Stegostoma tigrinum: one gene and its partner. The protein of the gene in region 2 purifies or fractionates together with the protein of the main gene of each other region. This does not show direct contact. Links are inferred from orthologs where the notes say so. Each region holds a gene or a part of one and is shown on either strand. Other genes may lie near its edges. The genes, in order: ripk1l and pidd1.

What was found.
Region 1: the proteins of pidd1 (region 2) and ripk1l purify together in Homo sapiens (affinity purification with western blotting; 3 studies listed by BioGRID and IntAct, with this or other methods). This does not show direct contact. The link is inferred for Stegostoma tigrinum from reciprocal best matches to the Homo sapiens genes PIDD1 and RIPK1.

Annotation. Positions count from the first base shown.
Region 1 is NC_081355.1:12,787,188-12,803,185, forward strand, and holds the start of ripk1l (receptor-interacting serine/threonine-protein kinase 1), read right to left. Parts: upstream 8,418-15,998; 5' UTR 8,321-8,417; intron 1-8,320. UniProt on the Homo sapiens protein: Serine-threonine kinase which is a key regulator of TNF-mediated apoptosis, necroptosis and inflammatory pathways.
Region 2 is NC_081370.1:5,301,399-5,317,908, reverse strand, and holds the start of pidd1 (p53-induced death domain-containing protein 1), read right to left. Parts: upstream 6,135-16,510; 5' UTR 6,071-6,134; intron 5,947-6,070; exon of another isoform or gene 4,917-5,946; intron 4,520-4,916; exon of another isoform or gene 3,267-4,519; intron 1-3,266. Other genes in the region: large ribosomal subunit protein P2-like, read left to right, coding at 12,920-13,042, 13,129-13,177. UniProt on the Homo sapiens protein: Component of the DNA damage/stress response pathway that functions downstream of p53/TP53 and can either promote cell survival or apoptosis.

The DNA of each region.
Region 1 (15,998 bases), on a different chromosome or scaffold from region 2:
ACCCGTACAGATTCTCCATTATCCGCTATACCAGGTCATGCAAAGGTAGCTTTGAACTCAAGCTCAATGAACATCATTTCTGGGCTACATGGGGTGAAATCTGCTCAACGCCTTCACCTCCTGACCAGTCTCCCTTCATCCTTGGTAAAACTGGGAGTTCCTGTTGACACTTGGAATTAAAAAGAGGCTGATTACAATTTTCCCATTGATTTCAGCCTTCCCATGGGTGGTGAGGGGGTATACCCTCTGCCTGGAGGCGGCCTTCTGGTGAAATGCCAGGGACTCAGCACCCCACACAGGCAGACCCATAAAGGCCTTCTCTGGCTGTCTGAGTGCAGCAGAAACTGCAATTTGCATTGTGAGAGGACCCCACTCCCAGCCGCAAGTTCTGATTTTTAGTTTGCATTAAAATTGGAGAAAGGGCTCCTTCATTTTGAAACACCACCTCTTTCACTTAGCTTCCATAGCAGTCTACTGCTTCTTCCAAGAAAGTGGGGGTCAGTTAGCTGGATGGCTGGTTTGCGATGCAGAATGACACCAAAAGCGTGGGTTCAATTCTCGCATGGGCTGAGGTTACCATGAAGCACTCGCCTTCTCAACATCTCCTCTCTCCTGAGGTGTGGTGATCCTCAGGTTAAACCAACAGTTGTCGCTCTCTCTCTAATGAGACAGAAGCCCGATGGTCTGGTGAGACCAGGGTGACTTTTACCTTTTAACTTTCAAGAAAGAAGGCTACTGATTGGCTTTCTAACTTCCAGCAATATGCCCTACTGGATGGCAAGCCTGCCCTCTAGAAATTAATTGGTTGCCCTCAGGAAAAATATTCCACATTTTTCAGCTTCCATTTCGGCCCAACAACCGAGTTCAGGAGCCTACGAGGTAAATCCCTGTGTTCAACTTGCATTTTCATCATCTTCAAATTCTCAGTCATGTTCAATCTCTATTATTTTACCCTTTGAATACACATCTTACTTATCCTCCGGGTTTTTGAGATGCAAATTCTGATCTATAGGCTCCGACTGCTGCTGTCAAAGTGAAGTCCCTCCAACAGCTAGGGCTTCCAGGATTTTAAGTCCAAACAAAGCTTTGCAAGATTTAAGTGGACAGTGTTACTGGAGTAATTAGTTAGGTTGGAGGAAACCCAAGAATACCTTTCAATGGAATAAGTCAGACCAAAGTATCCCAAATTGATAGTAAAGAAAGCTTCAGATAAATCATTGATTAATCTCATTGATCAGTTTCTGAAATAGTGAATCAAGAATGGTCCTGAACTACTTCATTTTGTTCGATTCTGAAAGACCCATACCCTTGCTCCCATCATCTTATATTGGCAGAAGCCGCATTGGTCTGTTTGAACAATTACACAGCAGTATTATGAATTGTTAGTGATGGCACAAAAATCATGCACATACATTGAGTCATAGACAACGCTAACTCTCCCTGGCAACAGCCTGAAACTAAATTCATCTGTTTGCAATATTGGTTGATCCAGAGATGGCTTTCAGACCCTGATTTTGGTGCTATCACTAACACTGTTTCCACCCCTGTAATATTTTTCAATTTTATTCTGATCTCAACTCATCTGCTTCTGAGAATGTCAATCCTGCCTTTGTTACTCTAAACAGGGTATTCCATTGCCCACCTGGCTGGTCTCCCACCCAATCCCTCTGCCACTTGAGGTCATCACATTTGCTGCCATATCTTTACTCACACCAAGTCCTGTTAGCTGACCACGCGTGATTTACTTTGGCTCCTGGTCAAGGGATGTCTTAATTTTAAAATTCTCATCCTTGTCTTGCCCCTCCCTGGCTTCTTCCCTCCTCATCGTTGTCATCTCTTCCAGCCTTACAAACCTCTGAGCTAAGGTTGGGGTGGGGGGAGGGGGTGAAATAGTGGCACAATGGCTCAGTGGTTAGATTTGCTGCCCCACAGTGCCAGGGACCCAGGTCCACTTCCAGCCTCGGATGGCTGTCTCTGTGGAGTTTGCACATTCTCCTTGTGTTTGCATGGGCTTCCTCTGACAGTCCAAAGATGTACAGGTTAGGTGGATTAGCCATTGGAAATAAAGGGTTACAGGGATAGGGCAGGGAAGTGGGATGTACTTCGAAGGGACAGTGCAGACTCAATGAGCCAAATGGCCTCTTTCCACACTGTAGGAATGTTATGATTCTAAGTGCTCCCTTCTATTTCTGGTCTTTTGTGTAGTTTTAATCACTTCACCACTGGTGGCCATGCCTTCAATTGCCAGGCTCAAAGTCTGGAACACTCTCCACAAACACTCCATCTCTCTTGACCTCACTTTCATCCTTTAAGACTCTTCTCTCTCCGCCTAAACTTTTTGTCATGCGCTTATACGGTTTGGGTCACACTTTAAGTCATAGAATCATACAGTATAGGGGAGGCCCTTCAGCCCATCGAGTCTGTACTAACAAAAACCACTCTAAATCTGCACTTCCCAGCACTGGCCCTTGCCTCGAATGTTATAACATTACAAATGCTCACCCAAGTGCTTTCTAAAAGTTGTGAGATCGCTAAAGCTTACTTCAAGAGGTGCCTTGATACATTTGATCACATTGAAGACACTAAATAACTATGTTGTTGTTAATCTATTGGTTGATTAAAACAAAATTATTTGGTAACTGTCATTTCCTTCTCTGAAGAAAAATTTCCTCTTTTCCTCAAAGCAAAGTCCAGGCAGTCCATGGTTTGCCAATGGATTCCGTTCTGGAGTTCATTCACAAGTTGCTTTGTACGCAAGTCCAAACGTGATGCAGGACAATATAAAGGAGCAGTTTATATATCAGGTCTTTAAAATTACACCCTTACAATGGGATCGTAATTGTAAGTCCAAGTCTAAGTCAGACGTTCATAAATTAGGGATCCCCTGTACAGAAGGTTCTGGAAATAGACAATCAGAAGAACAAGTTGCAACTGTGGAGAAATAGAAATAAAAGGGATGAAACTCATATTCTCATTTTTTGCAAGTTCTACCAGATCTTTTGGAGGGGTTGCTACAATGAGGCCTAGTGAGATGTCTCACGGAACACACCTCATTATCTATTTACCACCAACCCCTCCCCCTCACCCCCCTGCAGCATCCTGACAGCCAATTCTAGTCCCATCTTACCGTAGTCAGAACAACTTCCCGTTCAGCAGATATTTGCCAAAAGACCAGCGTCCCTCGCACCATCTTTATAAAGCCTCTGCATACCTGCCGGCAACCCGTCATTGCCTCTCACTAGCAACATCAGGGTACAGTAACCACAAGGTCAGATCACCCATGACACAGCCAACATGGCTGATGCTCTCTTACCCGTACAATCCCATTCTCTCACTTTAGTTGCCATCTGAACAACAGGCCATGCAGTTTACCTGTTCATAGGTATATCCCGCATGTAGGCCACCCTCCCCCCATCACCACCCGATGTGCTTTTCCCTAAGCCCAGTAATCACCCACATTTCATCATTATGCTGCAAGGAAAGAAACCACAGCTAGGTAATGTTTGGACAAAACATGAGCTTTAATTGACAGCCAGCGAAAGCGAGCACAAATGAATAGTGGCGGCAGTTCATCCTCACTAAATGAACAAAATGCTTGTTTCTTGACCTCAACAACCCATGATCATTGTCTGTAGCCATTTTGGATCCACTGGAACCAGCTGTCAATCAGGTCCTCTCTGCCTTGTAGGGCCCAATGCAGTGAGCCTTGCCATCCATAAGGAGGGCTTCCTCTTCCTCAACCTTCACCTTGGATGACTGCTCTTGTTCCCCTGGATCCTTAGTGTCTATCACATCACCTCACTGCCTGACCCAAATGTGCACTGTACGTAGCCTATTACATATAGCTCCGGAATCCACATTACAGGAGGCAAGTGATTTCGCTGGAGAGGATTTATCAGGATGTGGACTGGAAACCCTCCCTTCCATCTGAAGTTCTTGCTTGTATAACCCTCAGTTCATTGCCACCCTCTGGATCAGCTTTTCAGGCCCGGCTTATCAGAGATTCTGCTGCTCGGATGTCACTCACCCTGACTTTGCTGATTTACGCCAACCCTAGGTTCCCCTAAAATCAGAGAGAGATTCGGATTTCGACTCCCCTTGGAGAGTAAAGAAATCCTTCCTGGTGTCACCTTCTGAATGGTCCTGGCTCAGATTTTAAGGTTATACCTGTTGTTGTTGACTTGCCCCAGCAGAGAAAATAATTTTACTCCACTTTATCAAACCATTTTAAACAATTAGAGCTGCATCTTCTATACTCAAGTGAATGTAAGCCATGCCCCTATGCAAATTGTCCTTCTAATGCAATCCTAATTAATCCTTTTAAGGCTTAAGAATGTTAGATCAGAGTGTTACCTACCATGTGGCATCAAGGAGCCCAAGCAAAACCAGACTTGGTGGAACTGGAGGGAGAATTTTCTACTGGGGGGGTTGGTATCATACTTGGCATAAAGGAATATGGTTATGATTGTTGGAAAGGAGTCATCTCAGCTATAGAACATCTTTGCAGGATGTGATTTCTGACAATCTGCACTGCATACTCTCACTGGCTAGTGGTTTCCCCCCCCCCCAATGGACTAGTGCCCAGAGTGAATGCAGGCGCAGGCACCGTCACCCTGGTCTCTGCAGCTAACAGCTCCTGTAGCAGTGCCCACCCACAAACCAAACAGATATTTCACAGAAATGTAACAATGGGAGCAGCACGAAGATGAGTCTTTGCCCTGTTTTTTACTAACAAGCATGCTTTAAAGAGCTACTGGGCGATTGGATAGGCCACATTTAAAGTGATTTGCAAAAGTAACAAAAGAGGATATGAGAAAAGTACAGTTTCACATCACATTTGGTTTGGGTCTGGAATTCACTGCCTGGCAGTGTGGTGCAGGCAGGTTCAATCGAGGCATTTGAATAGAAACAAAGTGCAAGTGTATGTGGCAGAAAGCAGAACGATGGCGCGAAGTGAAAAGCTCATTTGGGGAGTCAGTGAGATACAATGGGCTGATTGGCCTCCTCCTATGCAGTGACACGTCAGTGATTCTGTGATGCATTTTAAGCATCAATTTGCACAGTCACAGCATAATTCCCACTCTGCTCATCCCTGGTTCCGAGCCTCTCATCGTTTTCTTCTTAATTCATTCATGGGATGTGGGTATCATTGGCTGGGCCAGCATTTATTGCCCATTCTGGGTTATCCTGGAAAAGGTGGTGGTGAGCTGCCTTTTTAGACAGCTTCAGTCCACGTGCTGTACCTAACAATGCCGTTAGGGAGGCAGTTCCAGGAGTATGACCCAGTGACACTGAAGAAAAGGTAATATATTCCAGCTGGGATGATGAGCAGTTTGGTGGGGAACTCATAGGTGCTGGCGTTCCTTGTCCTTCTAGTGGTCCTGGGTTTGGAAGGTCTTTCTCAGGAGCCTTAGTGAATTTCTGCAGTATTGCTTATAAATGCTCCAAACTGCTTCCAAAGGTCAGTAGTGGAGGGAGTGACTATTTGTGGATGTGGTGTCAATCAACTGGGCTGCTTTGTCCTGGATTATACCAAACTTCTGGAGTACTGCTGGAACTCCCATCACACTCCTACCTTGTCCTTCATAGATGGTGGAGAGGCTTTCAAGTATTAGGTGCTGAATTGCTCACAGGAATCCTAGCCTCTGACCTGCTGTTGTTGCCATAGTATTTATATGGTTAGTCCAGTCTAAATTCTGAACAATTTTAACCCCCAGAATGTTGATATTATGGGATTCAGTGATGATAATGCCATTCAATATAAAACAGCAACATTAAGTTCTTTCTTATTGGTGATGGTCATTGCCTAGCATTTGAATGGCACGAAAGTTTCTATCCTCTTGTCAGCTCAAGCCTGGCTATTGTTCAAGTCTTACTGCATTTGAACATGGACTGCTTCAGCGCCTGAGGCATCGCGAACAGTGCAATGTTCAGCACTATCATCAGCAAATATTCCCACTTCTGAGCTTACGATGGAGAAAGATTATTGATGAAGCAAGCTGGATCGAAAACACTACTCTGAGGGGTTCCTGTGGAGATATGCTGGAGTTGAAATGATTGACTTCCAACAATCACAACCATCTTCTTCTCTGCAAAGTATCATACCAACCAGTAGAAAATGCTCTGTCTAATTCCACCAAACCTAGTTTTGCTCGGTCTCTTTGATGCCACACTGTAGAAAACACTTTCATCTATGGCCTGACACTGCCCCAAAAGGAAGCAATTTGGACAGTTTAACATTGCTTTAGTACTTTCGCTGGAAGATCAAGCTAGACCATGTGCTTAGGTTTCTGGAATGAAGCGTCAAGTCACGATCTTCTAACATGATAAGAAATCAGGAGTAGGCCACTTACCAAGAAGCCTGTTCTGCCATTCAATTAGACCATGACTGATGCAATTGTAGCCTTCACTTTATTGACTGCTCCCAACACTTTGGTCAATGAAAAATCTCTCTAATTCCAGGCGCTAGTCTATTCAATGTCTCAGCCTCCAAAGCTTTCTGGAAGAGAATTTCTGACATTAAATACCTTCAGCAGGAGAAATTTAACCTAACCTCCATCATAACTGGACAGCCCTATCATTTAACTGTGTCTCCTGATTCTAGATTCTATGCAAATAGGAAGTGACCTCTCAGCATTTAATTTACCTCAGATTCCAATAAATATAGGTCAAAGCAGCCCAACCTTCATTCCCTTGGACAGGTTAGATGCACGCAGAAGGTTTTCCCTAGTTGGGGAATCTAGAACCAGTGGACAGAGTCCCAGGATAAAAGATAGGCTATTTAGGCCTGAGGTGAGAAAAACTTTCCTCACTCAAAACCCGTGGAACTCCCTCCAGCAGAAAGCTATGTCGGCCAACTGACTGAGTATATCTGAGACTATGGCGGATTCCATTGCGATTTTAAAGGCACCTAAAGGGAGAACATAGAACATTACAGCGCAGTATGGGCCCTTCGGCCCTCGATGTTGTGCCGGCCTGTGGAACCAAACTGAAGCCTATCTAACCTACAGTATTCCATTATTATCTGTACGTTTATCCAACGACCATTTAAATGCCTTAAAGCTGGCAAGTCTACTACTGTTGCAGGCAGGGCATTCCACGCCCTTACTACACTCTGAGTAAAGAATCTACCTCTGACATCTGTCCTATATCTGTCACCCTCAATTTAAAGCTATGTCTCCCCGTGCTAGCCATCTCATCCAAGGAAAAAGGCTCTCACTGTCCACCCTATCTAATCCTCTGATCGTCTTGTATGTCTCTATTAAGTCACCTCTTAACCTCCTTCTCTCTAACGAAAACGAGAGGAGAAAGTGAGAATATAGCATTGAGATAAAGGATTAGCCGTGGTCATACTGAATGGCACAGAAGGTTCAAAGGGCTGAATGGCCTACTATTACTCCTTGTTTCTATGATTCTTTGTTTCAAACCAGAAATCTACCCAGTCAACTTCTCTAACTGCTTCAAGCAGAGACTGCACACAGTATTCTGCCCACATGATAAGTCTGACACTAAATCTACCGATTTTATTTTGAAGTTAGAACATTTGAACATATTCATTTACACAACAAGTCAACATCACATAACTTGACTCTGCTGAAAGTTCAGAGGAAGCAAGTGGATCAGGTTAGGCCAATACTGAGATGGTTCAAATCAAAGTAAAACCTGTTCGCACTGTCAGTGAACAAACAACTCACACAGTTAGAGGGCTACAAGAGGGTGGTTAAAACAGCGCATCTCCAGTCTCTTCGTAGTTTGATTTCAGTCGACAGAATTGATGGGGAGTGGATGGAAAGAAGTTGTGTTTGGGAAATCGGAAGGGGTGGTTGTAAGAGTTGTGCTTGGGCAGGAGGGGGAGAAGTTGATTGGTAAATGGAGAGATTGTGGTTTGCAGAGGAAAGGAAGGAGTTGGAGGGGGTAGCGAATTGTGTTGGGCGAAAAGCAGTGTTTTTGGGGAAGAGGGGTTGTGTTCTTGGCTGGGGGAGGGGGGGTGCGCGTGGAAGGGTCGTGATTCCCAACATCTCACGAACTGTAGAACAGAAACTGGCCGCGGAGCCCGAACTGTCCCTTGCCCAGTAAGTCGCCATTACATTCAGCGGAAAGAGAACGTCGGCGCCACCTTTCCAAGTGCTAGAGTCGGCAGGAAGGGCCGAATAGCCGCGGGCACAGTGAGGGAGGGGGTTTCTACAGGGAAATCTCTGCAGTTCTCGGTATCACTCTTACAGCCCGGGCGGAGTGAAAGCTTCGAGCCTCCTGAACCCTCTCCCTGGGGGATGTAGGGAATAGGCTCTCAGTCTGTTCACCTTCTTCCTGGTGTCCTTACCTGCCCGGCCTGTCCTAGGGAGATCAGCTACATTGCTCTTTCCGCGTTGTTCTTTCCTGCCTACATCCTCTTCCGTGTTGCAAAACAGCCTTCGAGCGCCGCCTATTTGGGAAATACCCTGTAACAAGATCAGCTGCAGCACCTCGTGTCTTAATGTCGAGCAGTTGTTATAAAGTCGTGTGAGTCTGTGTATCTCAATTTTTTTTGACATTTTGTTCCATTAAGACCAGAAAGCTATGCATGTGCATTTCATGTTAGCTCGGTTGTCTGCAAGTTCTGTAGATGACTTCAGTGCATGGAAACACATTTGCAGCTTTCATTTGGTCAGGAAATGCTTACCCCCTTTAAGTTCCAGTAAAAGCAGATGTTATCGATATCGTGATAATGGGAACTGCAGATGCTGGAGAATCCAAGATAACAAAGTGTGGAGCTGGATGAACACAGCAGGCCCAGCAGCATCTCAGGAGCACAAAAGCTGACGTTTCGGGCCTAGACCCTTCATCAGAGAGGGGGATGGGGAGAGGGTTCTGGAATACATAGGGAGAGAGGGGGAGGCGGACCGAAGATGGAGAGAACTGGGCTAGTTTTGGGATGCAGTGGGGGAAGGGGAGATTTTGAAGCTGGTGAAGTCCACATTGATACCATTGGGCTGCAGGGGTCCCAAGTGGAATATGAGTTGCTGTTCCTGCAACCTTCGGGTGGCCCAAAACCAGCCCAATTCGTCCCCTTCCCCCCACTGCACCACACAACCAGCCCAGCTCTTCCCCTCCACCCACTGCATCCCAAAACCAGTCCAACCTGTCTCTGCCTCCCTAACCTGTTCTTCCTCTCACCCATTCCTTCCTCCCACCCCAAGCTGCACCTCCATCTCCTACCTACTAACCTCATCCCACCTCCTTGACCTGTCCGTCTTCCCTGGACTGACCTACCCCCTCCCTACCTCCCCACCTATACTCTCCTCTCCACCTATCTTCTTTTCTCTCCATCTTCGGTCCACCTCCCCCTCTCTCCCTATTTATCCCAGAATCCTCACTCCATCCCCCTCTCTGATGAAGGGTCTAGGCCCGAAACGTCAGCTTTTGTGCTCCTGAGATGCTGCTGGGCCTGCTGTGTTTATCCAGCCTCACATTTTATTATCCTGTTATCGATATAGTTCAAGTTGAGCGGTGACGATGTTTACCCGCCCACTGTCCTTAATTGCACCATGTTGTTTAAAAACTCTTAAACTTCTGATAGCTTCCCAGTGCTGATTGAGGTCTAGCTACACCATCGCTGAGACCTGCCTTGTAGTTAAAAGCGTTGCAGCCAGCACATTGGTATCCTGTAAAGGAGTTTGTGACCCTGAGGTTCCTCATGGGGTCTGAAGCAACTTTAGGGGATGGAGGACAGTCAGCAGCAGAGGAACCAACTCCGTTAGTTTCTGAAACCTCCCTGGACAGTACGTGGTTTCCAGTGAACATTGCAAGGTGTGGAAATCTACCCGTGATCAGGAGTAGTCTGGACAGAATAGAGGGAGAAACCATTCCCACTAGCGAGAGAATCAGAAATGAGAGGGCGGGGATTTAAAGTGATTGGTGAAAGAAATAAAAGCTCCATATGCTTTTCCACAGAATGAGTGATCAGGTTCTGGAACATCTGTGTCTGGGTGTGCTGCATGCAAGTTCAGTTGAGGCATTCAACAGGGAATTAGACAGCTAACTGAAAAGGATGAGTGTGCAGGGTTCCAGGGAGAAGGTGGGATATAGGTACTGAGTGAGTCGTTCATTCAGACAGCTGCTGCAGACAGACTGGTAAGAATAGTCACCTATGCTCTAATTCTGTGAATCAAAGGTACAGTTCCTGATGGCAATAAGTATCCCTTACCCCAACTCCATTCCATCATGCTGCTTGGCCTGCTGTGTTCATCCAACTCCACACTTTATATGGTTAGTCCTGTTCAGTTTCTGGTAAGCCCCAGGATGATGATAGTGAGGGATTCAGTGATGTTCGTGTCAGTGACTGTCAAAGACGATGGTTAGATTCTGTATTGTGGAAAATGGTCATTGCCTGGCATTTTTATGGTGCAAATGTTACTTGCCACTTTTCAGCCTTAGCCTGGATATTGTTCATGTCATTATGCATTTGGACATGTACTGCTTCAGTATCTGAGGAGTCATGACTGGTGCTGAACATTGCACGATCATAGCAAACATCCCTATTTCTGACTTTATGATGGAGGAAAGGTCATTGATGAAGGAGCTGAAGATAGTTGGATGAAGGACACTATCCTGAGGAGCTCCTGGAGCTGAGATGACTGAGTTTCAACCACCATAGCCTCTTCTTTTGTGTCAATTATGACTCCAACCAGCAGAGTGTTTCCCTCTGATTCCCACTGACTCCAGTTTTGTTAGGGCTCCTTGATGCTGCATTCAATCAATTGTTGCCCTAATGTCAAGGGCAGTCACTCTCATCACAGCTGAGGTTTAGCTGTTTTGCCCATGTTTTCACTCAAGCTGTAATGAGGTCAGGAGCTGAGTAGCTTTGGATGAATCCAAAGTGGGCATCGTTGAGCAGGTGCTGCTTGATAACACTGTTGATGGCACCTTCCATCATTTTTTTTGGTGATCATGAGTAAACCTAGGGGACGGTAACTGGCTGGTTTGAATTTGTCCTGCCTTTTGTGTACAGGACATACCTGTGTAATTTTCCACATTGTCTGGTAGGTGGCAGTATTGTGGCTGTATTGGACAGCTTTTTCAGTGATATCAGAGATAATAGGAAGTGCAGATGCTGGAGAATCCAAGATAATGAAAGTGTGGAGCTGGATGAACACAGCAGGCCAAGCAGCATCTTATGGCAAGTTCTGGAGCACAAGTCTTCAGTACTATTACTATAACGTTGTCAGGGCCCTGCCGTATCCACTGCTGCCACTTGTTTGTTGATATCACGTGGGATGAATTGAATGGGCTGACGGCTGGCGTCTGTGATGCTGGAGACCACTGGAGAAGGCTGAGATAGATTGTCCACTTGGCACTTCTGTCTAAAGGCTGTTGCAAATACTTCAGCCTTGTCTCTTGCACTGATGTGCTGAGCTCTCCTATTATTGAGGATATATTCATTACAACACGAGAGGTCATTTAACTGTGGGGTAGAATTTTCCCAGTCCCTGAATGATGTGGACAATGGCAACTCAGTTAGAAAAATGTGGCGAGAATGGAAACATGAGATTCTCAAACTTAAGAAGAGTTCAGAGTTTGTGCATTAGGTCTCACTGGTTAGGTGAGAGGCTCACTCGTGCAATGTGAGGAGCCTAGTTGCAGGCATTAAATGTCTCTCTCTTTTTGCCTAATCTTTTTGTCATGCAGTTTGTCATTTTACCAAGGCAGCAGAGAGAAACCGGATGGTGACAATCCTGACATAATTCAGAATGGGTACCTCCTGGCGGCAGCTTACTGTTGTCTTCTCAAGGCCTGAATCCTGATAAGAATTCTCCAGCTTTGCGGGACATGCCCCACTAGAAGGGACTGCATGCATCCCAAATCCACGGAGACTGGCATTGGCCAAGCATCAGTCTCTCCATATCATTGTGCCATATCTCCGAATCACTTGGAATACAGTTCTACACTTCACTACGGCACTTTGGATCTAACTGACACCTTACAATGTGATGCTGCTGCCAGGCCACTTTGTCCACAGGGACTGGCACCCATCTCCTGCATCAGGACAGGGTGCAGCTCAGGGTTCTTAGCTTGCTTTATTCATGTCCGTTCTCTTGCCTAATTGTATGGTCACAGCATCTCTGGCTAGCCTTGCCAATTTTCACATTGCTGCCTCATTCAGGACCCACAGGGCTCACAGTACATCTGTCCTGTCTTGCCTTTCAATGCAGGCTGAAAGCCAGGCAGCTGGTTGCGGTTGTCAACTGTGAACGGTCAAGGGGATGGTCATGTCACTGGATGACATCTTGCTCTGTCTAGGCTACACCTGCTCCATATGCCAGCAGCTAACACGGCAAACACAAGTTTGGCACAAGCTGTAGTTCTGGGGATAAAGACATGGAAAATAGGCACAGGGGGAGGCCATTCAGCCCTTCAAATTTACCCCACCTGCATATTGAAGTCCTTCTTAATTAGTCTAATAGTGCCTTTTTTACATGTCTTTTCTATCTCCTGATTTATTTTCTTACCCACATCCTGACTACCATTAGGGTTAATAGTAGACAACAGGGGAAAAGTGGACCAGAAATGGTTACATATGCAGAAGGCAGTGGTCAAATGAGTGATCAAGATATATTTGATTGGTGAAGGTTTATGGAGTTGGGTAAAAATCAGTGTTTAATGTGAAACAGGATCATTCTCAAACACTATGTACAGGAATTCCTGAACAGCCAACTCTATCTGAGATTTGTACTGTCCAAATCAGAGCACTGGTTCATCATTTTGCAATTGCACAATTGATAGTGACATGTTCCCTGTGGAAGTTCTCAACAATCAGGGTACTGTCTGCGTCCTGTGAGACCAAAAACAAAAACAGAAATTTCTGGAAAAGCTCAGCAAGTCTGGCAGCATCTGTGAAGAGAAATCAGAGTTAACGTTTTGAGTCCAGTGACCCTTCCTGGGAACTGGGCCATACTTGCAAAGCTCAGAACACAGAGCCTGATATTAAAAGTGATTCTGCAATCGGACAGCATTTGCTACCTGATCCTGAATGTGTGAATAATTATGCTATCAACCTACTTAGGATTGTCAGTCAGGCTCGCAGAACGGTGCTAAAAGCAACATAAACTAAATCACGGGGCCCAGTTCTTTGCAAATAGAACATGTGCAAAATAAAAAAATAAGTGACAACTTTTCTCTGGTTTATTACTCATGGCTGTTCCTTGACCAGAGTGAAGCTACTTTTTAAAAACAAATTAAGCAAAACATGGCAATTAGCTGTCAGTCATCATTTAACTGCTGTGTTATCCATGGCATTGCTTCTACCAATCAGATTCCACTTGGCAAACAATCAGAACTCTCCTCTCAGCGCTGTTTTCTTTGGACTGGCAATTCTTGTAAATTGTCCTGATAACTACAAGGCGTAAAGCTTTAACCAAGTGTATCTTCATTTGGCAATACTCGAGAAACAGAATCGCACAAAGAAATAAATTAAAAGTAGTCAATGGTGATGAGTGATGTCAAAATTAGTAACATGAAACAGAAATTAGATCTGAAAAGAAAAGGACAATGCGTATCTGTGTAGTGATTGGAACCAGGTCCAAATGGATCCATTGACTCAGACCCTTGATTAGGCTTCTTAACCTGGGTCAATCAGAGAGCCCTGGCTGACAGGTATAAACAGAAGATTCAGAGAGTCTCCTCAGTCAAGGGCTGGAGAGCTGGCCTGGGCCTTTGTACTGTGACTGACTTGGTGACGTGATGGCAGCTGCTGTGCAGTTATTTCAACCTGCAGGGCCACAAAGTTTTAGTATTAAAAGTTTGCATGTATTTAATGTGGTGAATGGTCACTGGCTTCTCCAACATTTTAAATTCAGCCAGCTGTAAATTCATCCTGTTGAGTGGAGATTTTTCAGATGCCAAACATGTTTCTCAATCAAGTGGGTAAGTGACCTGCCCGTCTGAACAGTAACTTCCACCCACTGTCCAAAAATACTCATTCAATTCTGCAAGGTTTCTGTGACGTCACCTGATAACACTTAGAATAGGTCCAGCTTAGACTGCAACCTTACTTCTTGAATACAATGGGTTAATTCTGTTCTTTTAATTTATGGCCCATGGGCATCACTGACTAGGCCAGCATTTATTGCTCATCCCTAGTTGCCCCAGAGGGTGGTTAAAAGTGAATCAAGAGTGCTGTAGGTCAGAATCACATGTAGACTAGTTAAGGAGGGCAGTTTCTTCCCTAAAGGGTGTTGGTGAACCAGTTGGGTTTTTTGAACAATAAGTAATGGATTCATGATTAGCATTAGACTATTAGTTCCAAATTTCTTTTGAAATTGAATTCAGTTTCCACCATGGCAGGATTCGAGCCCATGTCCCAGAATATTACTTGGGTCTCTAGATTAATAGTCAAGCAATAACAAAATAGTCAAGCAACAATGCCACTGGGCCATTGCCTCCCCAGTTCATAACATGCATTTCTCTTTAGTAATTCCTCCCATTATTGCAAATTATTTTACAGACCACATCAAAATAGAGAGATAATTTATAATATTCATATGCGGGGAATTTATCAGCTACTAGGGAAAGGATTCACTTCTCTTGTGAAGAAAGTTGGACCCAGACAACATCAGCTAATGAACACTAGTGGATTGCCATTATCAATCGGGGAGCATCATTGAACTTCCAGATATGTTTTTACGCATAAATTAATTAATTACTGAACTTGCCACCATCGATGTTACTTATAATAACACTTCCACAAGATCTTAATACAAGTACACTCTCTCAAGTAAACTTGAGCACTTGTTTGAGTTCTGATTTTCATTAAATAATTAGGAATACATCAAGATCCCAGGATCCAAAAGCATGTTTTGCTTTTCACGGAAATTAAATGTACAACGATCACCTTTGTTGATAGCTACTGCACATTTATTTGTGATTACATTTACACTAGTGTGATTTGAGCTCGAAGTGTTAATGGCTGTTCAGGTCTCTCAAAATTCTGAAGTATCTATTTTATTCACTCACATTTTAAACCTTGCTTCTATTCTGATGTTGTAAGAATCTGTATGTTTTCATATCACCTTGTTCAATTATTTGCAATAACTTTAGTTTTAACAAGAATGATTCCTGCAAGCCTTCAGTCAAGAACTGGGAATCAAAGTGAAAACAATTGCAGATAACCAAGTCTTCTGCACAAATGTTAAACAGCTGTCCTAGGATGAGTCAATATTTGAGGCTATAACTTCTCAATCTAATTAAATTCTTTCCATGGATTTCTTACTGCTGGGCATTCTTTAGTAGCTCTGTGAGTTTGCGGTCTCTGCTAAATCTCCTATTTGGCTAAAACATGGGGTCTGGTTTTAATTGTTCGTAACTGACTGAGTTCAAATTCACAGAATGTCTCCATTGTTTCACTTTACTGGAAATGGAAATGAAACTGAAACTGATATTGTCAGCCTTCAACCAGAAACAGACTTCACAGGCAAAAGTTACAAATTGATGGAATAACAAGATGTAGATCTGGATGAACACAGCAGGCCAAACAGCATCAGAGGAGCAGGAAAGCTGACGTTTCAGGCCTAGACCCTTCTTCACAAATTGATGGTCTGGGTTATGCTATAATAAATCAGAGGCTTGTAAGAGCAGTAAACTACAGGTAAATTTGGCTACAATGTGTGCAGCTAAATGCTGAAATCCAGAGGTTTATGCCAGAGATCGCATTCTCTTCTACAGTGTGCTCCTTTCCAGTTGGACTCTCTGATAGGTGAATTTATGGAACTGCAAGGTCCTGCAGGGATTTGAAGAGAAGGATGAGAATTTTAAAATCGAAACAGCATAGACTGTGAGTAGAGTGGTGATGGTTGTCCCTTTTTGACCAAGGTTACCAGAGATTATCAGATAGAACAGTGCCTTTATTATGGGGAGTTAGAGACGGAGAATTCCTGGAAGGAGTTTGTAAAAATAAAGTACTTATTTAAACTGGGAGATCTGGGAGGGAGACAGGGCTATTGTAAATGGAAAACCAGAAAAAGTGA
Region 2 (16,510 bases):
TGTAGATGGGGAGTTAGGGACGGGATAGGTCAGTCCAGGGAGGATGGACAGGTCAAGGTGGGGGAATGAGACTGGTAGATAGAAGGTGGGGCTTGAGGCGGGTGGAAGGACAGACAGGTTAGGAAGGCAGGGACGAGCTGGGCTGGTTTTGGGATGCAGTGGGGGAGGGGAGATTTTGAAGCTTGTGAAACCCACATTGATACCATTGGGCTGCAGGGTTCCCAAGCGAAATAGGAGGTGCTGTTCTTGCAACCTTCAGGTGGCATCATTGTGGCACTGCAGGAGGCCCAGGATGGACATGTCTTCTAAGGAGTTGGGGGTGGGGGGGGGTTTTGAAATGGCTCGCAACTGGGAGGTGCAGTCGTTTGTCACCAACCAAGCGTAGGTGTTCCGCAAAGCGGTCTCCAAGCCTCTGAGGATTCCTTGTTCGCAATTCCCTGATGCAGAGGAGACCTCAATCGAGAACAGCTGATACAGTATGCCACATTAGCAGATGTGCAAATGAACATCTTCTTGGGGGCCTGAGATGGGGGTGAGGGGCAGGGGCAGGTGTAGCACTTCCTCCGGTTGCAGGGAAGTGTGCCGGGGGTGGTGGGGAGTGTGGAGCAGACAAGGGAGTCATGGAGAGAGTGGTCCCTGCAGAAGGAAGACAAAAGAGTGGGGAGGGAAAAATGTCTTCGATAGTGAGGTCAGACTGCAGATGGCAGAAGTGCCAACAGATGATGCATTGGATCTAGAGGTTGGTGGGATGGTACATGAGGACAAGGAGGATTCTGTTTTAGTTGTTATTGCGGGGAGGGGATGTGAGGGATGAGTTGTGAGAAATGTGAGAGAAACAGTCGAGGGCATTTTCAACCACTGTGGAGGGGAAGTTGCAGTCCTTGAAAAACAAGAATATCTGGGGCATCCAGGAGTGGAATGCCTCATCTCAGGACAGATGCAGCGGAGGCAAAGGAATTGGGAATAGGGGATGGCATTTTTGCAGGAAGCTGGGTGAGAGGAGGTGTATTCTAGGTAGCCTTGGGAGTCGGTAGACTTGAAATGGATATCAGTTTCTAGGTGGTTGCCAGAGATGAAAACAGACAGATCCAGGAAGAAGGCAGAGGTATCAGAGATGGTCCAGGTGAACTTAAGGTTGGGGTGGAAGGTGACGGTGAAGTGGATGAACCGCTTGAGCTCCTCATGGGAGCACGAGGTGGCACCGATATATTCAATCGATGGAACAGAGGAAGAGGTGGGGTTTAGGGCCAGTATAGAAGAGGGATTGCACCACGTAACTGACAAAGAGGCAGGCATAGCTTGGGCCCATGCGGGTACCCATGGCCACCCCCTTTGTCTGTACGAAGTGGGAGGAATTGAAGGAGAAGTTGTTAAGGGTGAAGACGGGTTCAGCTAAGCCAATGAGGGTGTCAGTGGAGGGTGACTGGTCGGGCCTGTGGGACAGGAAGTAGCAGAGGGCCTTTAGGCCATCTCCATGATGAACACAAGTATATAGGGACTGGACGTCTATGGTAAAGATTAGGTGTTGGGGACCAGGGAAGTCGGAAGTTTTGGAGGAGGTGGAGAGTGAGAGTGGTGTCATGGATGTAGGTGGGGAGTTCCTGGACCAAGGGGGAGAAAATGGAGTCGAAGTAAGTTCGGCGGGGCAGGAACAGGCAGAGGCAATGGGTCAACCATGGCAGTCAGGTTTGTGGATTTTGGGATGGAGATAGAAGCGGGCGGTGAGGGGTTGGGGAACAATGAAGTTGGAGGCTGTGGATGGGAGGTCACCTGAAGTGATGAGGTTGTTGATGGTTTGGGAGATGATGTTTTGGTGGTCAGGTGGTGGGATCATGATCAAGGGACAGTAGGAGGTGGTGTCAGAAACCTGTAATCTCTGGCACATCTGGAAAATGAACATGTAATATCCATTATTTGACACTCCTGTCATTTGATGTTTTCATTTACAATGTCGCCCCATCAATTTACAAGGTTGCTTCTGACCATTCTCTTTTCCTAGAATAACTGTAAAAATGGACTAATGTTGATATGTTTTGCAAGTTTATTTCATTACACACTTTTTTGAACCTAAATCTATTTTGCCGAAAGATGTTCTCTGTTAATAAAAGACAGGTTTAGAAAAGCTGTGGATGGCAGAAGAATTGATCCTATTGTCTAAAAATATTGGGAGCCATGGATAGAATCTGCAGGTATTGCACTCCATGACCATTGTCTAATCAAAAGATGGGCTATTATAAGACCAGTATTGTGTTCTTACTGTGGGATATGAAAAAATGTAATTGAGGTAACCGTTGAACTAAGTGGGCATATAATTGGTCAACCAAACCACTGAAATTAACACAAGAATGGGAAGAATTAGTGATGGACAGAAGTATGAAAAAGGTGAAATTTGGAAGTAAAGAATGAAATTTCCCATTTTGGGGAAGAACATGAAGCAGAAGCAATACAATCATCAATCACTCTATTAGAAAGAGAGGGGAGACAGAGACCTAACTAGGATTGAACAAGAAATGTCTCACATTGCCACAAGAAAAAGGCAGACGCAGTGGCAAGTCATTCGGTCTTCCAAAGTGGCATCGTTTTTAATGGAGAAAGCAAGAGTACTCAAAAGGAGGAATTAAAAACCAGAAGAACAGCAGATGCTGTGGACCCTTCTGAGGAAGGATCACCGGACCCGAAACGTTAACTGTTTTCTCCTTCGCAGAAGCTGCCAGACCTGCTGAGTTTTTCCAGCAACTTTGTTTTTGTTCGAAGGAGAAACTATTTAGAAAAAGAACATTTAACCCAACAGAGACGGGTGGCAGAGGATGGGGTCTGGCCTGTTATGTTAATGATTATAGACCAATGATTATCAGGCATTGATTATATCGTAGGTCAGTTTATTTAGAATAGTAAAATATATTTCAATTCACGAAACAGACATTACTGCAAACCAACTGATTTTTGTATTACAGAACCAGAGCTGACTAGTAGGCAGATTTGCAGCCTCAGATACACATAACACGTGCAGTCCGTAAAGATGAAAAGCACATAGAACACAGTCTTTCAAGGAAGATGTGGAGAGGCTGCATCTCAGAGATTAAATGCAGACAAACAAAATATCCCTGGTAAAAAGAGATGAGTAGGGATAGGAAACTGGCATCTGTTAAACTGGTGCAGGAAGAGAACTAAGCTCAGTCACTCAGCTGCTGAAATTCCCAACCACCACATTGTTACCTAATCTTCAAAATGTCACAGATTCTCTGCACATAGCCTGTTCCACTCACCATTACCACAGACACAGCCGACCAACAATACTACTTGTTTCATCCTCTATTTCTGTATCTCCTTCAACCTCAAATCATTGCCCAAACACTTCTTGCTTAAGTTCAAGATTTGCATGCAATTTTCTTTCATTTCCTTAACAGTGGTGGCAGATCCTTTGGCCACTTCAGACCTTCTCTCTGGAAACTAAACACAAAAAAAGACCCAACTGTCAGCTTGGTTCAGCAAAAAGGAACATTTCCTGAAGTAGGAAGTCAAGGATACATTAGAACTTGAGCACATCATCAAAAGCTGAAGCATCAGTGCAATGTGGAGAAACTGCTGCACTATCGGGGTAGTAGGAACTGCAGATGCTGGATCTAGGCCCGAAACGTCAACTTTCCTGCTCCTCTGATGCTGCTTGGCCTGCTGCGTTCATCCAGCTCTACACTTTGTTATCTCACTATCAGGGGTGCTGGCTTTTCCATGAATTGTAAAATCAAAGCCCTTATTTGTCACTTTACAAACACTTGTATATTAAATATATACATGCTGGAGTCAAGCAATAACACAGCACGGAGCTGGAGGAACACAGCAGGCTAGGCGGCTTTGGAGAAGGTAGGTGACCTTTCGGGTCAGGACCCTTCTTCAGAAATCATTTGAAATCCTCTGATGCTGCCTGGCCTGCTGTGTGCCTTCAGTGCCACACTGTTGTGTTTACATGGTGCCTTTCTTGTAACAAAGCACAACAAGGCTCTTCATAAGCCAAAACATTGATACACAACTGATTTTAGGGCAAATGACCTAAAGCTTTGAGAAAGAGATAAGTTTTCTGAAACATCTTAAAAGGAGGAAATTCCAGAACTTAGGATCTGGCAGCTGAAGAATGGTGGAACAATTAAAATCAGGGACGATCAAGAAGCCAAAACCAGAGAGAGGAGTGCAGATATCCTGGAGGGCTGTGGGGCTGGAAGAGATTTTGGCATTAGGGAGGGAAGCGGTCACAGAGTGAGTTCATAACAAAGATCAGCATGTTAAAAAAAATACAACTTGCTTACACTAAGTTAATAGCAGGTGCAATGGGTGTACGAGATTACTATCTGTTAAGACATTAGGCTGCCCTTCTATCAGAGTCAACTGAAGACACGGAGGAGACAGAGAGGGGTTTAAGTTAGCTTGGTTTACTGGCCTGCAATGCAGGGATGCCAAGAGCACAGGTTCAATTCTCACACCGAGACTACCACGAAGGCAACAAAGTGTGGAACTGGATGAACACAGCAGGCCAAGCAGCATCTCCGAACGTCAGCTTTTGTGCTCCTGAGATGCTGCTTGGCCTGCTGAGTTCATCCAGCTCCACACTTTGTTATCTTGGATTCTCCAGCATCTGCAGTTCCCATTATCACTACCACGAAGGCGCTGTCTTCACAGCCATTCCTTGTTTGGGGCGTGGTGACCCTCAGCTGAAGTGACTACCAGTCATCCCCAGTTTGGGCCGAACTCAGACTATTGAGTCTAGTCAGGAGTATGTTGTAATAGCCAAAGCGGGATTTTTTTTTAAAAAAACAAAAAAAGTTGAGGATGAGGGATTTCAGTAACAGATGAATCGAGGAAGGGACGAAGTTGGGTGATATTAGCGAGATGGAAACAGACGCGGTCACTGACAGGACGAATACCTGGTCGGAAGGTCAGTTTCAAGCAGGTGACACCTCTGGAAAAGTTAAGTTCTCCAGCAACATCAACGAATATTAATTGACAAATAGAAATTGCTGCACAAGCTCAAGTCTGGCTGCATTTGTGGAGAGAAATTAGAGTTAACGTTTCGTCGAGTGACCCTCGTTAACTCTGATTTCTTAGCACAGATGCTACCAGACCTGCTGAGTTTTCCCCCTCGCAATTTTTATTTATTTCTGATTTACTAATATCGCAGTTCTTTTGGCTTTTAACATTCATTAGTGGTTGATGCCGGCGCCTTAAATGTAGTTACCACATTTGCTTATTTAATTATAATTATTTGCTACATTACATTAATTACTTCACGATTAAATGTAGTCAATTTGTAATGTCGCAATGCACAAACGAAGCGAAAATGCATTCATTGTCAAAAGATCATCTCATCGACCAAGCTTCTTTTGGCCGTACTAATCTCTCTCGCTTTCCTCGTGCTTTATCATGAAGCTGAAGGAATTCTCCCCATTAAAGGCGCCATGTTAATGCAAGTTAACACTGAGCCAGCTCCTTTAATTCCCCGCCAATGCCAAAAAACCCACTTACTTTCCTCTAAGCAGGGGATAACGATCCTTTAAGCAGCGTCGGTGTTTTCATGTCCGGAAGTCAATAATGTTTTAGACCCCACTGCAGTAGTTACGCATACATCAGCGTAAGATGACAGTTATTTAAGAATGAATAGGCTTTTAAAAAAAAAAGTCACGAACTTCTCGAAAACAGACCAAAGGCATTCGGCCTATATAGAAAGTTTCGTGGCCAAGAAAGTACAAGCTTTTTCCTGATACCTCGTCAACATAAGTTCACTCCGTGCAGAAGAATCAGTGGTGAGTAGGCGATTTGCTTACAAAGTCTTTTTTTCCGAAATGAAACGGCTCCGACTGGGTTAAAGCAGTGTCCGGGTGACTGCGGGATGTGGTTACAGTGCTGTCTCACCAGAGTATTGGGAAGCGCCCGCGGGCTTATGCCTTCCCGCCTCACGACAGTGTCCCAATGAATGGGAGTTACTATGTTGCCAAGTTCCAAGTATAGAATGTTACGACTTTCCGGCGTTCCATCGCTAGAATGTTAAGATAATACAAACGTTCCACAGCGGCTAGAATACCTTTGCTTCGGCGCTCACTCCCCTGGTCATGGTGGTTGAACTTAAAAGTTGCACTGGCCCTCCCTGTGTCGCGCTTCCTTGTCTGAGCTGTGACCTCTGCCCACCTGAACTCTCTCAGAGCAACAGATGGTACGTCACCGAGCCTTCAAACCTAGATCCACGAGTTCTCGCGCCAAATGCTTAGCAAATGGCGCCTGAACGAGCTGGAGTTCTTGGTAAATCTGTCGCTTTTATGTTTATGTATATCAAGTAAGAGAACTAGACCCGATCGTTCTGAAATTGCTGTGTAGGTTGCATGTGCGCTTGAGATTCTGTAACTGGCTACAGAGTTAGGGATCAACAGCTGCAAGAGTGGGTTAAACTGAATGGCACTTTATCGATCAAAAGTTAACAAACTTCTAAGTGGGGGAGGCATTTGCAGCAGAATCATAATTGTGTGAGGCGTGCAGATGCAGGGTCTAGGCCCGAAACGTCAGCTTTTGTGCTCCTGAGATGCTGTTTGGCCTGCTGTGTTCATCCAGCTCCACATTTTGTTACCTTTGCAGGCTGCTCTTTTTACACAAAAGGTACTAGTAACTGACAGAAATTGAACACATGTATAGTAATTTAACACTGGCTAATGTATAGCTTTGTCTACCAGTGGTTCTTGTATCACTGCTTCATGGGCACCTCTTTGGACCACCTACATGAATCACATTAGAAACGTCCCATCTTTGGAATCTGTGGTGACATCAGTTGATAGGGAAATCTCCAGCCAGGGATTCAGGCAAAGTATCATATACCTGGCATTGAGAGCATGCTCAAAGTTCAACTTTACTTCATTATTCTTGTTTCCAGAGACAATTTTACAGCCAGCTGAGCACAGAAACCATATGTTCCACACTTGGATGTAATGACAATCTGAAAGCCAACCTTTAGTTTGCAAAGGAGCGTGTGTGTGTGTGTGTTTGGGGGTGGGTTGGAGGGGAGAACAAATTTTGATTTGACCCAAATAGAGAAATCACTGTCATTGAGTGATTTTGATAGATGAAAATGAACTCGTGTGTTCAAGTTAAGCAAGTACAGTTCAAAGGCAATATCTCCACCATTCCCTCCAACACAAATGTCATATGCAATACTTGCAATTGGTTATGCAAGTTGAGACTTGAAATCAAAACAAAGTGCTGGAGAAACTCAGCATATTTGGCAGCATCTGTGGAGAGAGAAACTGTTAGTCTCTATTCCAAAGAGTCTTCTCTTAAGATTCAAGACTTGACGTGTCTTTTTGCAAGACGTTATGATCTAAATGGGAAACCAGTCACTTTTTTTTTAACTTGCATCCATCATTGTACGTATCCATCAATTGTATATTCACTCTAAAAAGTTTTTCTTTAATGTGGCTGGAATTTATAGACTACTTGCCTTCTGTGGCAATAAGCTTTTTATTTATTCATTCACAAGATGGTTAGGCAGCACTTATTGCCCATCCCTAATTGCCCAGAGGGCAGTCGAGTCAACCACATTGCTGTTGGTCTGGAGTCACATGTAGGCCAGATTAGGTAAGGCTGGCAGTTTCCTTCCCGAAAGGACACTAGTGAGCCAGATGGGTTTTTCCTGACAATCAACATGGATTCATGGTCATCATTAGATTTTTAATTGCACCATCTGCGATGGCGGGTTTTAAACCTTGGTCCCCAGAATGTTATCCGGGTCTCTGGATTTACAGTGCAGCAATAATACCATTAGACCATTGCCTCCCTCTTGATATAATTTGATATCCCACAGTACTACAGTATTGTAATCCAGAAGCCAAATGCCTATTGAAACTAATCTGGTGAAATGGCAGAACACTTGCCTTTAGTTTTTGTCAACATGATTTAAATTGAAGTCTAAGAAAGTAAGCTTTATTTGATTGTTTTATTTGAGTTTGTTACAATAGTGAGCAAATATTGAGATGACTCAGCTTTATATTATTAAGTAATAAAGTGCTCACAGCATTCTCACTTGTCAACCAACTGACAGGCTACGACATTACAAACAAGCTATTCTTGATGTTTCTGATTTTAATGCATGAATCTGCAGGAAAATGTTTTTAAAATGCAAATTTGCTTGATACTTGAAATTTGGATAGAAATTGAAAATACCATACATTACCAGTTAGCCTGAAGTTAAGTCACTCTGTCTTTTATGTATATAAACTGCTAAAGTGAATGTCACATGGTACTTAACCTAACAAGGACCTGAGCAAACCGTTCATCATTGCTACTGTGGAGTGACTGGTGAATTGCTTTACTAGCTGTGGAGGATGGCACATGATAGCTTTGGCCAGGGGGAAGCTACAGGCATGTTATTATCAATTGGACTCTGCAATACGATATGTGGAATCATGGTTAGAGCAAGTTACTAGGCATATGTGTAGGGCAGGCTTGCCATTAACCCATGAAAACATGATTTCTGGTTTAACAGCTGTGGTGCCAGGAATAGTTCACAATTCTCACATAAGACTCCTGCACAAGGAAAGACTCCATCATGTGCTGTGGGTATGGAGGATGGAAAAGAACTAATCTCTGATGAAGGGTCTAGGCCAGAAACGTCAGCTTTTGTGCTCCTGAGATGCTGCTTGGCCTGCTGTGTTCATCCAGCCTCACATTTTACTATCTTGGAATTCTCCAGCATCTGCAGTTCCCATTATCTCTAATTTTCCAAGATATTACTTTGATTAGTGTAATATATATGTTTTAACTTAGTGTTTCCATGTACATTATTTTGAACTTTTGAGCACTGTACTCCTAAAGCTGGCAGATGAGAAATCTGGAATGTTTCCACAGTAATTCTGTGAACTCTTTTCATAAAACAAATACGTTCATGGCATAGTGACAGGATGGTTCTGGGCATAATTAACTCTATAGGGCTATTTAAATTTTGTTACTTTGCATCACAATGTAAGTTGTATATTACAAATGTCCACTATTATAATAACATGGATTACATTTCATAAACCTGCAGATGTCGGACTGAAATATGGATATCAATGTGGTTAGCAGTTTAATTATAAGGAAGGCATATTGTTCAGGATGCAAACTTGGTTTTGTCGGCAAAACCTCTACACAGAGATGAGGTGACGAAAGACTCTGTGGCTCATAATCCTTCTCTTGAGACAATCTTCATAGCAAGTCATAAACAATGAAAGCAAGTTAAGAATAATGGCCAAGTTGCACATTTTAACGGTTTCCTACCAATCCTAAAAGGAATCTTGCGGGTTAAAATATTCAGGTTCATGTATTTTGCGTTCAGTATGCGTTTGATATATTGGTTTTAATAGAGATCTGCGTATAAGATTGAACGTGTGGCTATCATAGACAACGTAGTAATATTTTTATATCTATCAGCCGCAGTGAAAGGCTTCTGAAGTTTCTATTTGCACGGAGACAGGAAAATCAAAAGTATCCTTCTGCTCTCAGTCCTCCAGAGAGACACCAAGGACATGTTCACAATAACTTATTGAAGTCCCATTGCTAAAATGACAGATTCCAGACGCTAATAAAATGTGAGGCTGGATGAACACAGCAGGCCAAGCAGCATCTAAGGAGCACAAAAGCTGACGTTTCGGGCCTAGACCCTTCATCAGAGAGGGGGATGGGGAGAGGGAGCTGGAATCCCTCACCTTCCTGGACCTCTCAGTCTCCATCTCGGGCAACCAGCTTGTAACTGATGTCCATTTCAAGCCAACCGACTCACACAGCTACCTAGAATACACCTTCTCCCACCCACCCTCCTGCAAAAATTCCATCCCCTATTCCCAATTCCTCCGCCTCCGCCGCATCTGCTCCCACGATAAGACGTCCCAGATGTCCAAGTTCTTTAAGGACCGCAACTTTCCCCCCACAGTGAGCGAGAACGCCCTTGACCGCGTCTCCCGTATTTCCCGCAACACATCCCTCACACCCCGCCCCCGCCACAACTGCCCTAAGAGGATCCCCCTCGTTCTCACACACCACCCTACCAACCTCCGGATACAACGCATCATCCTCTGACACTTCCGCCATTTACAATCTGACCCCACCACCCAAGACATTTTTCCATCCCCTCCCCTGTCTGCTTTCCGGAGAGACCACTCTCTCCGTGACTCCCTTGTTCACTCCACACTGCCCTCCAACCCCACCACACCCGGCAACTTCCCCTGCAACCGCAGGAAATGCTACACTAGTCCCCACACCACCTCCCTCACCCCTATCGCCAAGATGACATTCCACATTAAGCAGAGGTTCACCTGCACATCTGCCAATGTGGTATACTGCATCCATTGTACCCGGTGCGGCTTCCTCTACATTGGGGAAACCAAGCGGAGGCTTGGAGACCGCTTTGCAGAACACCTCCGCTCAGTTCGCAACAAACAACTGCACCTCCCAGTCGCAAACCATTTCCACTCCCCCTCCCATTCTCTAGATGACATGTCCATCATGGGCCTCCTGCACTGCCACAATGATGCCACCCGAAGGTTGCAGGAACAGCAACTCATATTCTGCCTGGGAACCCTGCAGCCATATGGTATCAATGTGGACTTCACCAGTTTCAAAATCTCCCCTTCCCCTACTGCATCCCTAAACCAGCCTAGTTCGTCCCCTCCCCCCACTGCACCACACAACCAGCCCAGCTCTTCCCCCCCCCCCCCCCCCCCCCCACCCACTGCATCCCAAAACCAGTCCAACCTGTCTCTGCCTCCCTAACCGGTTCTTCCTCTCACCCATCCCTTCCTCCCACACCAAGCCGCACCCCCATCTACCTACTAACCTCATCCCACCTCCTTGACCTGTACGTCTTCCCTGGACTGACCTATCCCCTCCCTACCTCCCCACCTTCACTCTCCACCTATCTTCTTTACTCTCCATCTTCGGTCCGCCTCCCCCTCTCTCCCTATTTATTCCAGTTCCCTCTCCCCATCCCCCTCTCTGATGAAGGGTCTAGGCCCGAAACGTCAGCTTTTGTGCTCCTGAGATGCTGCTTGGCCTGCTGTGTTCATCCAGCCTCACATTTGATTATCTTGGAATTCTCCAGCATCTGCAGTTCCCATTATCTCAGATTCCAGACGCTGATCCTCACTGCAGCCTTACAACGCTTACCAGAACTTGTGACCAATGAGATGGAGGGTTATTCACACAGCTGTCCCCATTGGCCCGCCCCTGGCTCAGCGCATCCAATGATAATGGAGCGTGCCGGCGCATGTTTATTATGTCTGAGAGTCGGGACGAGGCTCGCTCTTTTACAGTCCGGCGCCCAGTGCGTGAGGAGTTATCAGAGGCTAGGCCTGCTCCACTCCCAAGCGCCTCACCCAGCTCGCCAGGTGAGTTCGCCGCATTTCCCCGTTTTTGCCCCCGCCCCGCCCTTTATTTTACCGGACCAGGGGCTCGAGCGGCAGCCGTGTTCTTTCTCTCCTCGCCGCCGGTGCCGCCCTGGCCTCGTTGACGGAGGGCTACCGAGCACCGAAGGGCAAAGGGGGTTCGGCCGGAAGTGAAGGCCGCGCGGCCTCCACGTGCTTGTGAGCCTTCTCAATTGTGACGCTGCCGCGTTCGCTTTCCGAATGTTGGCAGCGCCCGCGTTCCACAGGGCCGGCTCCAGGCAATGTTGGCTGCAAAAGCACCATTCCAGTAGCAGCCTCCCCTTTGCAGACTATTCTCTCTCGCCTCGGTAGGTGCTCACTCATGTAAAGTAGTCTTCCGTTCAGCGCAGCTTGGAAGTGTTCAGATTGAGTTGGAGGCTATTGCAAGATGTTCCTCAAGTTGTAAAGCCGCACGTTTGCTGCTTTCTGTCCACAATTTCTTGGGTATGGACAAGCAGTTTGACTTCTGCCAACACGTAATGGATTGCTTAGTGACTTGAATGCCTGTTTGAAATCGGAGCTGTGGGCTGGAGAGCAATGAAGCAGATAACGTAGTTTACAACAAATCTTACAACCGCTTTTCAACACGCTGCTAGAGAACCATTTTACACGTCCGCGTATGCAACGTGAAAATGCTTGTTAGGCTAATTACGCTTGACATCTTCCTCCCTGTGCCTCTTCCACCTCAACTGAACAGCCCTTTCTCTCTGTTTTGTCGGATGAAATTTAAAAACAAATCCCTGATTATATTCTCTGCTTTATCCCAAAGATGTTATTTGATAGATTTCTTAGGTTTGTGCACCAATTCACCTGTATTAACTACTTTTGGTAGTGGTAGCTTGATAATTAGGTTAACTTTGCCTGATGCTCACTGAGTAAATAAGTATAAATCGAGAGGAGGAAACAATTTGAGCAGGCTTCAGTGCTTTGATATCTAAAGGTGAAAAATTAACCCATCTGTCTGGATTTATCCTGCTTTTGTGACATCTTAGCACTGGCTGACTTGTGGGCAAATTTTTGTGGCATTGGTTCTGGGTGCAAGTCTCTCATGATGCCTTAATGTGGTTTTGAATTTAATATAGAGGACCCAACAGCAAAACTGACATTGGTCATGAATTGTTGAGTATGTGCTCTTCTGAGAAGAAAGATGATGCCTAAGGTCTCACTAACTATTTGTGTATTGCTGAATTTTGTCACAGTACCTGTTTCTGGAAATGTGTATGAGCCCAGTATGATTTCCTGTATGGCGAGGTTAACTAGTGTTTACGGAGTTAGGCCTGAGTGCTGTCTGGCTAAGGGAGAGTTAGGGCATAAAAAAAGAAAAAATTGAATTAGCAAATAGATGGAAGTTTGTTTTAACAAGGCTAAACCATGGAAACCAAAATGGAAAAAGAAATCAGGAGTTTGTGCTCTTGGCAGGAATCAAAACACTTTTTTTTTCCAAGAATTTTTATACACAAGTATAATTGAAGCTAAATTCTTCCTTTTTTAGAATGCGTTACGTCGCAGCTTACCTCCTTGCTGTATTGGGTGGAAATGCCTCCCCATCTTCAAAGGACATCAAGAAGATTTTAGACAGTGTTGGCATTGAAGCTGATGATGAGCGACTGAATAAGGTATTGTACCTTTCTGAATACATGCATGCTGAAATTGGCTGCATTTCCTCTTTTCTAACAATGTTAATATTCTAATTGAATTTCAGGTCATCAGTGAGTTGAAAGGCAAGAATGTAGATGATGTCATTGCTGCTGGTGAGTAACCTTGTTTAACATGTGGATCTTACCAAAGTAGATTCATTATCATTGTGGAGGTAATGCCAGAGGGTTTGCTAAGTAAGCACATAACTTTCACCGAGGTGAAAAATAACATAACAAATGTCACTAGTGAAAGTGTAGATGCAATCTCACCATTACTGAACCAAGGGGCTCTTTGCCCTGCTGTAACTTGATTAAGGCTCAAGTGAAGGTAACATTTCAAATTCAACTTGTGGCCAATCCATTTTCTCCAGTCACTTGCTGTGCCTCTTGATCTCCTTTACATCTCATTTTGGAAATGCTCAAAATTCTCGTGTTTTCAGATCTGTGGCATGAACAATCCCTAACGGCTACCTCCTCTAGCCCAAACACTGAACAAGATTTTTGTGTTCTGTCAATTCTAACAGCTTGTGAAACTCCAATTTCCATCATTCCACCATTGACTGTGTTTGACAGCTGCCAGGGCCTTAACTCTGTCATCTTTTTAACCTCTTGACCTTTTATAAGCTATTTCTTAAGTTACTTGTCCTTCTATTGTCTTGATTTTGTTTTTTTTAGATTAGATTACCTACAGTGTGGAAACAGGCCCTTCGGCCCAACAAGTCCACACCGCCCCTTGAAGCATCCCATCCCCCTATAATCCGCACACCCCTGAACACTCTAGGCAATTTAGCATGGCTGATCCACCTAACCTGCACACCTTTGGACTGTGGGAGGAAACCGGAGCACCCGGAGGAAACCCACGCAGACACAGGGAGAATGTGCAAACTCCGCACAGTTAGCTGAGTCTGGAATCAAACCCGGGTCCCTGGCGCTGTGAGGCTGCAGTGCTAACCACTGAGCCACTCTGCCGCCTTACTTGTTGTCTGACATTAACAGAAGCTGGCGTTTTTACGGATGTAAAGGTGCCAGGATTTGGTAGAACTCATAGTTCAGCTCGTAATCTGAAATTGCAGTGTTGTGAATTTTGCTCCATGGACTTCAAGGGAGTGATTTGAAAGGGGCGTGAACAGTAACTTTCATGAGGGCTGTATGTGTATGCAAGGAGCTGCGAGGAAATGGAAGAGGCTGGTACAATTACAACATTTAACAAACATTTTTATGGGTACGTGAATAGGAAAAGTTTAGAGGAGTATGGGCCAAAAATGGGCAAATGGGAGTAGATCAGTTTATAATGCCTGGTCAGCATGGACAAATAGGACTGAGTGTATTTCTGTGTTGTATGGCTCTAAAAGCTTTGATTTATGACATCTTTATGCAGATAACACTCAACAACTGAAAGGACATACCCCACACTACTTTATCCCTATTCCAAAGCATACTGTCATAATTTTCTGTCAGGGTACTAATAGTGAAAAATAGGTTATTCTTCACATAACTGATCAGTACACTTAAAAGCTGGAAATCTAGAGGAAAGCATAAAGTACGGTTTGTCGGGCTTGATCTTATTCTAGAAAGAGCAGAGTGCAAGTTAAGGAGAATATAGCAAGATGAACTGATTTTTTTTTTCAGTACTATTGCCAAATTGAGCTGTATTCAATGCAAAATCAATTTTGTTGTTGTTGTGCCCTGAGGTGGTGATGAAATGGAAGTCACATGGTCTTGGTTGTCACAAATACTAAAGAGATGGATCTTTTCAGCCAGGAAGTGAGATTGAAATTGTTACCACAGTTGCACCAGCTATCTAGTGTGATCTTTGAGTGAGGGCTTTGTGGGAGAGGACCTAAAATTTTGAAATATGATCCTACCTGATTGCTGTGCCATGATGGAGGATGTTGGTGAGAATGCTGTTTGTGTGGGGAGAAAGTTAAACTCACGTGATACAGCACCTCGTAGTAGACTGGTTTGCAAAATTGACAGCTGTGGGCTTGAAGACATGCTGGAATTAAGGGTGCAAAGTTTTTGATCCAACAAAAGCTCAGTGTAAGTGTTAGGTTTTCAGACTGGGAGGGCTTTGGTGTTGCTCCTTCAAGCTTCACTTGTTTATAAACAGTTGAAATATTTGGGTTAATTTCTGTTAAATGTCAACTGAGAATTAGATACAATGGTCAGCCTTGGTATAGTGATGTATTCTGGATTCAAGTGTAGATTAAACCCCAGAATTAAGCATGCTATTGTGGCTGAAATACAAATATATGGAATGCATCTCTCAAGATGTCAACCAAGGCTGTATCTGTTCCCTCAAGTGGGCACTGATCCTATAGCAATAGTCAGACCTGGGAGAATTCCCTTGGCATCCTCAGCCAGCATATGTAGAATGCCTTATTTAATCGACAGCTTAGTAGGATTTTTGGGTGTCTGTTTGTTTGTTTTCTTTGTTACAATCGTGACAGCACTTTTTGGTGTTTCATTTGTTGCAAAGCAATAGTTTTGCTTCTGAGATTATTTGTTAGTTGGTATATTCATGGCTTTTGTTGTCTGCCCTGTTTATGGGTGCACCCATACATCCAACACTGCTTGTTTATTTCCCTTGAATGTCATTGTGCTTTATTGCTAGTCATGCATAATTATTCTTAAAGAATCACAGAATCCCTACAGCGTGGAAACAGGCCCTTCGGCCCAACAAGCCCACACTGTCTCTTAGAGCATCCCATGCAGCCCCGTCCCCCTGTAACCCACCTAATGTACACCGCCCTCAACATGATGGGAAATTTTTCATGGCCAATCCACCAAGCCTGCATGTTTTGGAGTGTGGGTGGAAACCCACGCAGACTTGGGGAGAATGCAAATTCCACACAGACGGCCACCCAAGGCTGGAATTGAACCTCAGCCCCTTGTGCTGTGAGGCTGCAGTGCTAACCACTGAGCCGCCATGCCGCCCCATGTTGGATCAGAAAGTGCCTTTCACATCCCCACAACACCACTAACTACTACAGACAGCCAAGGTCGGTCACTGCAGTGTATTAAAGTAGTTAGTTTGTATGTAACAAGGTTTCCCAAGTGGAAGTGAAAATGGCCTGATGGTCTGTTTTTGTCTGCTGTTAGGAAGATGGCTGTTGATTAAACGCATGGGGCATACACACTTAGTGTCTTGGGATCTTTTCATGCTCACATCTCAGGGAGTAGAATGGAGCCTGGTTAAATCTTTCTTCCAAAAGAAAGCACCCCAGTTATGTTTATGTCCTGTCTTAGAAGCAAGTATGCTGTTGTGGTGCCCAGGCTTATGTGATGTTCAGTTTTTAATGTTTGGACAAGTATTCTTTTGATTTATGCTTTTGCTGGAAGATTCCAGGTCATTGTGTAATAGTAATATGAAACAAGACAGTTGGGATGAGACGTGCAAGGGGAATAATGGAAATCTGATGAGATATTTGAATTCTTTACCGAGAA